Drosophila melanogaster: one gene and its partner. The protein of the gene in region 2 purifies or fractionates together with the protein of the main gene of each other region. This does not show direct contact. Each region holds a gene or a part of one and is shown on either strand. Other genes may lie near its edges. The genes, in order: mav and Gfrl.

Evidence for each region.
Region 1: the proteins of Gfrl (region 2) and mav purify together in Drosophila melanogaster (affinity purification with western blotting, with the first as the bait; one study listed by BioGRID). This does not show direct contact.

Annotation. Positions count from the first base shown.
Region 1 is NC_004353.4:622,682-628,114, forward strand, and holds mav (maverick), read right to left. Parts: upstream 3,351-5,433; 5' UTR 2,904-3,350; coding exon 2,091-2,903; intron 1,983-2,090; coding exon 690-1,982; 3' UTR 538-689; downstream 1-537.
Region 2 is NT_033777.3:20,446,568-20,451,432, reverse strand, and holds the start of Gfrl (glial cell line-derived neurotrophic family receptor-like), read left to right. Parts: upstream 1-1,745; 5' UTR 1,746-1,974; exon of another isoform or gene 1,975-1,988; intron 1,989-4,865.

The DNA of each region.
Region 1 (5,433 bases), on a different chromosome or scaffold from region 2:
TCATATCTATGTTAGAACATTTATATACATATTCTTAATAATTAATAATCAAACAAACAAGTGCATCAGTGCAGACAATTTTTTCTTTCGTCTTTGGATTGTATATAATCAATTTCCTTATATTTTCAAAAAATACAAACTATTGGATTTTTGTTGAACACTATAAAAAGCCGTTTGATGCAATGTACCTAGCCACATTTTTTTATATTCACGTGAAAAAAACTAGTACTTTTCCTATGCGCTCCCCAAACTTCGACAGGAAAATCAATGTGCGCCTGATGTACTGAGATTTCTTTTCGATTTGTTAAAGTAGTCATTTTGTTTTTACGATTAGCAAAAACCAAATCATTCTAACCACGCTTTTCGAGACCTCTTTCTCATATTATCAGGACTGCAATCATGCAGCTTTTAGTGATTCCTGCGCATCACTGGTTTTTGCATAGGACTGACTGCCTTCTACATCTAAACGTCTTTATCTTCCCTCAAGGAATTCGCCAAAAGTCATTAGTGCAATAGCGGTAATAAAACACACAATTTGTAAATGCCGCTATACGAACAAAAAATATTTCTATTTATTCAGCATTGTTACATGTTTAAAAATTCACAAAATTTGAACCAAATGAGAAACAAAACTTAAAAACGAATAATAGAATATGTATGTAAGAATAATTCGTTAGAGAAAGTTTTTTTTACGAACAGGCACATTCTACAACCTGCATATCACTCCATGTCGAAATTTTGAGTTTGTCGCTGTGGTTTTCGTCAACATGCAATATTTCAAGCATCTCAAGCTTTGAAGGAGTACAGCATGGACGGGGGGCTCTTTTGTGATCTTCTTGCCATATCAGACTTTGCAGTAGGGCGTGGTGGTGGGCGGGATTGTGACGTGGTGGACATCTTCCGTGGCAGTACCCTGCATCGAATACCTTCGGCTGTAAAATGAATTCGAATCCCTTAATGCTCTTAAAGGCAACATCCAATTGATTTCTACAACATCGTTGGTGCAATTTGTAACAGTTGTTGGTCCACTTATCTTTTCTCCAGGTGCTATCATGGTTTGAACGGTGATGCACGTATTGATCGCTTCTATTATTGGTCAGCATGATTTGGTGAATATCCGCGTCGCCGTGCTGTTGGGAATTCAGCGTTCCGTGTCCAATTATATTAAGAACTGGCATGAGGTTTAAGTGTTCGTCGCTTGAGGCGGTCGAGCGTGGTGGTGTTGACGGGCTGAAATCACTCAATATACGAGCCCCTATACTTTTACATTTATCACATTGAATTTCTATCCCCAAGTTTTCATGGCTTTTGTTCAACCAACTACGAACAGCTTTGGTCACGTCAAATTCTATCCACTGTGTTCGAGTTTCTTGGAAGCCAACATTTCCAAATTCAATTTTACGAGACGTTATCTTTCTTCGTCTATTCGCTGAAAGAAGTTGATATACTTTTAAAGTTAATTGCTGGCTACTATTTTTGTTAGATTGGTTCAAATTGACATCACCAAAATTACAGTGCCTTTCGATGTTATCATTCCCGGAAATTTGACTGATCTTATTTTTCCTAGATCCTGGCCCTCGTCGGAAATTTGTTGCCAACGATGAACTATAGAGAAGCATAAGCCTAACATTGGCCTCGTCGATTTTATCATGGTGAAAATTTGCATCTTGTGCATTTGTCAATGGAAAGTGTAAAAGAATATTCATTGTATCCTGTTCGCCACGTAGTAGGTCTCCATAATTTTGATGCTTTTTTGGGTTTTGGTTTAATCTGTTAATTTTTTTAAGCGACCTTCTATGGCGCAATCGTTTGTTGCTTATATCATTGAATCCGTTTGTGGTAATGCTTAGAAAATGTAGGTCTCTTGTAAAGGAAGCTCCCATGAAGTTGTTAAAATAGCTGTTGCCCTTCTCCTGGTTACTTCTTAGGCGACTTAAGTATTCTATATATTTGCTGGAATATTCAGCTTGGCTTATATTGACCTGTAAATAAATAATATCCTTTAGGTGGACCCTTCTGTATACGGTTTGGCATAACACTGCACAGCTTTCTTTTACAGGACGTGACAATAGCTGTAATTTAAATCTTACCTTTCTCATATCTGGTAGTTTTTTAATTCCAAGGCCCTTCAAAACGAGGTGCTTTAGTCTGGTTTCATCTACTCTTTTTGATGGCTTACTATGCCTCTTAGTTTCTAGGCCGATATCCCTAGTTTCCCTCGTTTGCCTACTTTGAATTGGTACGGTGTTTATCCACTGAACTGACAATTTTTTATTGAATAATTGAGGAAAGTTTTTTGACTGGCTTACATTAATCAGACTATATTTATTTGAACTGGCATTGTAGATTGAGTCTCTGCTTTGTTTGCTAAAGCTTTCAAATACATTTTTAAGACCCATTTTCGGAGTTGATTTGGCTCGGATTATTGGATGTTGATTTGTTTCTAGTCTCTTAGCTTCATTTTCTAAATTTTGAAGCTGCAAATTGGTAAATGTAATATTTTCTTTAGGCTGATAGTATGAAAATACTGCTTTTGAACTTGACGTTTGGCGGAATATGCCATGGCCACTGACTTGATGCTGAGTTGACATCAATAAAATCAATATAAACCATATTTTGTAAAGCTTTAGTGACCTACTACAAACTAGGGTGAGCTTAGCCTCAGCATTATCAGTAATAGGCGGATGTTTGCAAGGAGGTTCTCGTGCTTTAGAGTTTCTTATAGTTATGGTATGGTGAACACAAATATGCCACAAAATACTAACGATCCAGTTGGACTTGTTCAAAAGCGATGGAAATATTTTTATTGTACGGTTACTAACTTTACATTTATGTTGAAAAGAGTCGCACCACACAGCTGTTTCCTTTTTTGGCGTTAAGTTTGGATTAATGTCTATTATCATGTTTTCTCCGCATGGCCATTAGGGTTCCTTTGCTAATGTCAATTATAAAAATGATTATCGTTCTTCCAGTCGATCAATCTTCCAGTATGTACTCTTCTTCAAAATTACACATTCGCATGCCTACATATGTATATACATACTAATGAACGTTGGCAAGTATCTACATATGTATGTAGGCTCAGAATCTCTGTAAAAATGTTCACATCCACACCATTACTTATTAGGTTAAATCTGCACGAGTTTGTTGATTGCATTGATCTTATTTTCGGGATTTCGTTTACGGCACTTAATTTAAAGAAACAAAAAATTTCTTTCGGTAAAGTAAATAAATGATCACAGTTCCTCGAAAATGTGTATATATTTTCGTCTCGGTCGCACTCTCATTAACATTCTTGTACACATCGATACGGAACCTGTTCGGACATTGCTTCAAATTCGACTAAAATACCCACAGCAAATGCTTACTTAACAGCAGCAATATGAACATTAGTCTCATACCCCCACACACACCCACACATCTGCAGTGGACTCATGCACGTCTTACAAACACAAGATTTTCTGGGTGTTGCGTTGTGTGTACCTGTGTACAGGCGTATTCACATGCAACATCCCTTACATCTTGCTTGATTATACTCCGCCCGCCGTGCATTCCCAGGATAGGCTTTGCTCCCTTTCCCATAACCAGATCGGATTCGGAGAAAAAATTGTTTCGAATTGTTCGAAAGTGTGGGGCATGGCAAAGTGTTTTTGGTGTACCTATAGAGATTGGCAAGACAAGTGACAAATCAATAGAAATTTACAAAACTAAAAGTATAAAAAAAATGCACAAGTGTGGGCGTGGCAGTTTTGGGCGGTTTTAGGGCGTGGCAAACTTGCTCTGCTTCTGTCTCTAGAAGTTGCATTCTTAATCGCAACATTCTATTTTTTATAGTTCCTGAGATCGAGGCCTTCATACGGACAGACGGACACAGACAGTTCGACTAGGCTATTGATCCTGATTTGCTCGAAAACGTTTCCTTCTGTCTGTTATATGGTTTTCGAGTAACTGGTTTAAAAACCCTAAGGTGGCATATGGCTCATATTTCCAATCGCGCATGTTCAGGTACAACCAAAAACTATGTTTTCCCTAAGCATAGTTGTAGCAGAATACTATTATCTTTTTTAAATTATATTTTGATTTTTTTACTCGTATTTAAATATTGAATATTGATATATTTTCTAAAATACCTTAAATTATTGAATAGGGATTTCTTATACATAAAATATTTTCTCGAAAAGTGTGTACATTTATGTTTCCTTTTTTTATTAAATTTGTTAAACGAAATTATTTAATTGACCAGCGTACTTCTTAGACAACTTAATCTAATCGGTATCAATTTAAACGAATCTGAATATCTAAGTTATTTACAAAGATTATATGATTATGAGTATTCAAGAAGTGGAATGTGAGGCTATAATATTTAGAAGATTATAATTAAGTAAGTTTTATGTGAAGTCTCGGTTAGTCAGGTCTTGAGGGTGGTGGCGTTTCAATCTTCTTCTCGTTATTCTCCGATGGCTTTGGGCTGCGATACTTAGTCGTCTAGCTAGACTATTCGGATAAGATTCTAGTCTGTGCTTATGTTTCCTGACCCTATATTTTTGAACTCCATAGTAAGCAAGGCAGGCAAATTGCTGATCAAACGGTACTTAGGAATAATAAATGACAAAAGACATAGTAAAAGAACAAAGAAGCGCCTAGCACTTTTTCCTCTCTGTATTTTTGTTTCTCTTAACTTGCATTTTACATTTTGAATCGTCAGAGTTTTCTCAAAGACACTAGAATTCTTATTCTAGGGTCTTTGGTTTTCTGGTGTCTGAGAAATGTTTTTCAGGTACATTACATATATATGTACATTATTCATAAATATGTATATAAAAAATATTCAATAAAATAAAAACTGAATTACTTAATGTATTTATTTTTTATATTCTTTGGGAACTTTTCCTGCTGTTTAGATATAAGACATTCAAAAGCATCCGTGTGGTCGATTTCTAAACGTATTTAAGAAACATTACTGAGTGAAGTTCACGAAAGCTTTGTAATAAATATATGTAAATATCCTAGAAATATTAATTTCGGAAAACACCCTGAAGCCTTTCCGGGATGCAAACGGATGCGTTTTGAATTGGGAGGTTTACAAAGTGATTGTAAAAAACTTGTCTCAATGTGATTAACGTAAGTGCGATATTTTGTAGAGCAAAATGATGACCACTTCGTCAATCTTAATCTAATTTTCCACATCGCTATGACCTTTGCTCGTAAAGCAAAAGGAAGCTTTTCCGACCATACATATAAAGTATATAAATTAAGCACTTATTAAGTTAAGACAAATAATAATTATTATTCTTTATTAAGTGCATCAGAATACGACTGATCACTTTTGAGCTGTGTTTAAAACTAAACTACAATTTCATATTCAAATATTTATAGCGGCACTTCTGCCTACTTATGATAACATATATATTCATGGGAAGGATCAGTAACCTG
Region 2 (4,865 bases):
AATTGCTCCGAACCGAGCATAAATTAGCAATGGCAATGTAATTACACTTTCATTAGATTAAAATATCATAAGTGCCATAAAAATTAAGTTATGCCGAGGGGCGAGCACAATGGAAATGAAATAATCAGCTTACCTCGGCTGCGGGAAAACATAAAAGTCCGGCCGCACAAAAGAGCCTCGCCGTCGAGGAGCCACCGCGTTGCCAGGACACCGGCCAGGACTCATTGTTTTGGCAAGGAATCGCTTTGATTTCACGCGATAATTACAACGTGCTCCGCGAAGAATTATTCCGACTTGGGTTCGTGCAGCTATTCAGGTGGCAAACTTCGGGATCCTCAATCCCTGAGTCCGCCCACCAATTCTGGTGGAATCGGAGCGTTTCCTTGAGTCCTTTCGACGGCCAGTATTTATAGCCCCGGCGACATTTTGACATGCCGGGAGTGCCGACGCCCAGAGCCAATTTCTTGACCCCTGGCCAATTTTGACCCATTCTTTTAGGTCTTGCAAAGAGGAATTAATATTTTTGGAAACACTTATTACTCTCTGATTTATGGAAACTATGGTTTTATTTAACTAAACGTTAGTAAGGAGGTGTATTTCTCACATCTATATCTTGACTAGCTACAAACATTTATAGAAAAGATCATTTTAATTTTAAATTTGTATTAAATAAAAGATTCAATATTGCAAGACTTTTAGCATAAGTACGCAAAATTCCTTAATTTAAATAAAATATTTTAAAATTATCCCACCCAGCTTATTTCCATATATTTTGATACAAAACTCGATTGCATATCACGACATATAAATAATAAGCTGTGAAAGTATTTTCGGGAACTTTTGGGTTCATTTTTGTTGCGAATATTTTTTGTCGATGCCCTTTCATTTTTTAGTTCTAGCCAGCAAAATGGGCTGGCGGGTGTGGGTGAAGTGTCGAAGGGTTATCCTTTTTTGTGTGTGTTTCTTTTGCCAATTACCGCACGCTTCGTGAGGCATGGTCGCCGCTTCGGGCACTCGCTGCGTATACGTAATTTTTATTGGACACTCTCACGCGTCGTCATCCATCGTCTGCCGTCGTTTCCACCATCCATCCATTCGTTTTTGTGTCACGTCGTGAGCTTTTGGCTCGTACGCAGAGTCCTAGGCCAACACGAGAATTTTAATAAGAAATCTGATAAGTAAGCTCTAAATGCGTACGTTATTAAACAGAAGTCATTTGTATCTAATATCCATTAGGGTGACGTTTGTATAGCTTGATATCAAAACATAAAGCTTTAATAATATAAATTTAGAAATGTTCTCACTTACATACATAATTGAAGTCTATTATGGACTTGACATTTGAATAACGCTAACAATACGTTTTTGTATATTAAAATACCAAAAGTACTTATAATTTTGCAAAACTACAGTAAACTTTTTAAAGGAAATGTTTAAAATGGAATAGAACTTGCGAAGCGAGTGACTTTCGATACAAGACCTTGTTTCCTACAGTTTGAGAGTCATACTCTGCTTATTCCACGAAAAAAACGAGAATGGAGAGGGAACTTACTCGCCGAATGTGCAACCAAAACAAAACGGATAATTGTTAGTGTCCTTTCTCTCTTTTACTCTCAGCTGGAAATCTCTGACTTTACAGCTGTTATTTGGACTGTTAATTTACATTTGCCGATGGCCCAGAGAACTCGGAGCCGAGTCCTTAGAGCTTCGTGCGGTGAAAGGACCCGACTTCGTACGGGCCAAACAGTTTTCGACTGAGACTCGTGACGAACGGACGCGCGGCCAATGGCAAGCGGGCAGTGCGATTCAATTCGATGCGAATTCGACTCTAGCGGAAGCGGAAATACGAATGCCAGCGAATTGCCAATGGCACGGCTGATATGTGTGCGTGCCGCGAGCGAGGATCGTCGAGTCGAGTGAATGGAATATCCAGAAACGTCGATCGCAATCTTCGAGTCAACACGGAGCTAAGCTGTAAATCATAAAGTGTCAGTCAGAAAAACCAACAAAAATCAGTCGAGTGTGCTTTCTTCGCCCGAGATTTGTGCCACTGCATACTATAGCCCATAGTATATAATTTAATTTGCCAAATGTGTTGGAAAATTGTATGGCCCGGCGAAGGGGAAAGTGGCAAGCAAAGGAAAACTCCGAGCAGCAGCTGGCAGTGCCGCACGGCTTACTGCTTACTGCTTATGCTGGTAATGGGTTAATGCGGTTGAGCACTCGCATGCCTTCACGCTTATCCCCCCACCACCCATTGCCCCTCTTCCATCTCACATCGCTCCGAAAAAGCAAATATTTCATGTTATTTACCTAGGTGCGCCACTTTCGTTAATTGTATGCAAAAAAGTTGCCAACCTTATCCCCTCCCACCACACTATGGCACACTCTCCGTGTGTGAGTGAAGTGAAGTTTTTGGCTCAGGTTTATTCGCTACAACAACTTTCGGGTGGCTGGTTCAATTACAAACCCCTGGCCCACGGCCCACAGCCCACAGCCCACGGCCCATCGCATATCGCCTGCCGCACTATTTCCGCTCTAAAATTTGAGCCAACTTGCCGTTGCCAGCTGGGCTCCTCTTGGTTTAGTACTGTTTCAGCAAAGCAAAACCTGTTCCTGCGACGTTGCTGCGCCTCACTTAGTAAATAAATTGGCAATCGCATTTAATGTGAGTTTATGTGCGTCGATACCTTGGGTCGACTGCTCGGCTCGGCTCCTCTACTCTGCCATTTGGTAGTTATTTCTTTTTTTTCGGTTTCTTGGCTCGTGCTCATGTGCAAATCGTAAATTCACGTTAATGCCGAAATTTCACGTGATAATGACGTGATTACCTGGCGCACACACACACACAGGCCCACAATGTGGCGATCCATGCACATGTCTCCATGTCCCCATGTCCTCATGTCTCACCATGTCGCCTGCCTATCCTTGTCTGCCAGGACTAGGGGCATAAATACGTAACATCCAACTGGGAACTTGGTACTGGTAACTGGTAACTGCTAACTGGGAACTGGTAACTAGGAACTCACTCCGATGGCAGCTCAACTGAAAAATGAGTGCCCCTAAAATAGTTGCAATGCATTCAACTGAATCGGAGTGCGGTGGTAGTCCTGGCCGGGAATTTCTGGTTAGGCCCAAGCGTAAAATTGTTGGCGTAGTTCCCAAGTGCTGTTCAATGAGTTGGAGTTGAAATTGCTGCAATTGTTCAGTGCCACCGCTCCATTCGTCGTAATCCATTCCCAATTTAAATGGCAAAGGGGTTCTGTTCTGATTTTTTTTAAAGCGTTGCCTAACTGTCTCAAAGTTTCTTTGCAATCGCGTAATTTGGCCGTATTCTTTGCGTTTTATTTGCAACTTTTTAATTACTTTTGAGTAGCGATTTGAACTTTGCGCCTGTCGCCCGTTTACACTCTAATTAAGCGGCCCATTCAAGGGCTCTGTATTTTGTATTTATATCCTTTTGCTCCTGCTCCTGTTTCTTATCGCGCCAAGTAAAAGAAGTTCTCGGCTTTTAAATGCAGCTGTCGCAAGTTGGTGGCGCTTTAAACGTTCGCTGGCATTTCCGTTTCCGTTAAATCGCTCCTAAGCCAGTTTGTTAGTTTTACCTTGACATTTTATGCAGTTTTTCTCGGTGTTATATGTATGTATTTTTTCTAGCTACCTTTTGTGTGCCTTTGTTTTGCTTGTTACCTGCGCGCAATTTTTTCTAGGTACACAGAAAAAATAATCTTAAAGAGATTACGAGATTATGATACCACCTAACTTACATTTGGATGTATAAATAAATTTTCTCATAACTTAGGTCTAGCCAGTTTTCACTTTAGTGGAGTGTTAATAAATTTGTTAAGTTAAATAAATTAACTTACAAAAAAAAAAAAAAAGTTCAAAGAATATCGGTTTCTGACTTCATTCTTTGTGGTCAATCTGGGACATGCCATTATTTAGATACTTTTTGTTTCAGCTACATAAATTGTATTTATTTTGTGAACAACAAAAGAAGTACGCGAAGGTACGCAACTCCAAAGTGAATTATTTCGCCGTGTGTAGTGGCGATGGCAGCAGCTGCTTGTGGAACAACTTTAACATTATTTGCTTTGCTGCAACACTCCCCCGCACCCTGCTCAGCGATCCGTGGCCTTTGTTCGTCTCCGGACTCCTTTCACTTTGAGTTCCCCGCTGTCCGCACCCGAATCATGAATCATTTCTGCCGCTGCACCCACCAACTCCCATCAGCTCCTGCCGTCCTTTTGGCCACATCTAAGTGTTGTTTAATGCAGCTTTTCAACTCATTCGCTTTGACATACACGTGTGTGCCGTGTATGGTTCTGGGTTCCGGCTTCCACTTTCAACTTTCTACTTTTTATTTGCCAACCTTCCAACCTTGGTGCCTTTGCATGTAGCATCAGATTTGCTTATGCAAATGCGTCGCCGAGAAGGGGATTTGCCATTTGCACCGCTCGTCCTCGATCGAAATGTTTACGGTTTCTATTCGAAGAGGGCTGATGTCATAGCTTGTCGATGGCCAGTTTAAATAATTGCCACCGCAATAAATTATTAAATCAACAACAATTACTCACTGGCCGGCCAAAGGGAATCAATCAATGCTTGTGGGGGAGTCGAAAATCGAGTGAAATTAAGTGATGTGGAGTGGAGTGGATTCATAAGCTGACAAAATGCCAGCTCACTCCATGCACCGTAGGTGTATTATAACGAGTTTCATGACAGCAATTATGCGAGGTCGGCACCGCACTCCTCCGCACACACACAAACACACACTCCCGCACATATGAATACTTATTATTACGCATACGCAGTGGTGCCGGAGCAGGCTAATGTGTGGTTTGGGCGTTGCTTTTCGAGGGCTT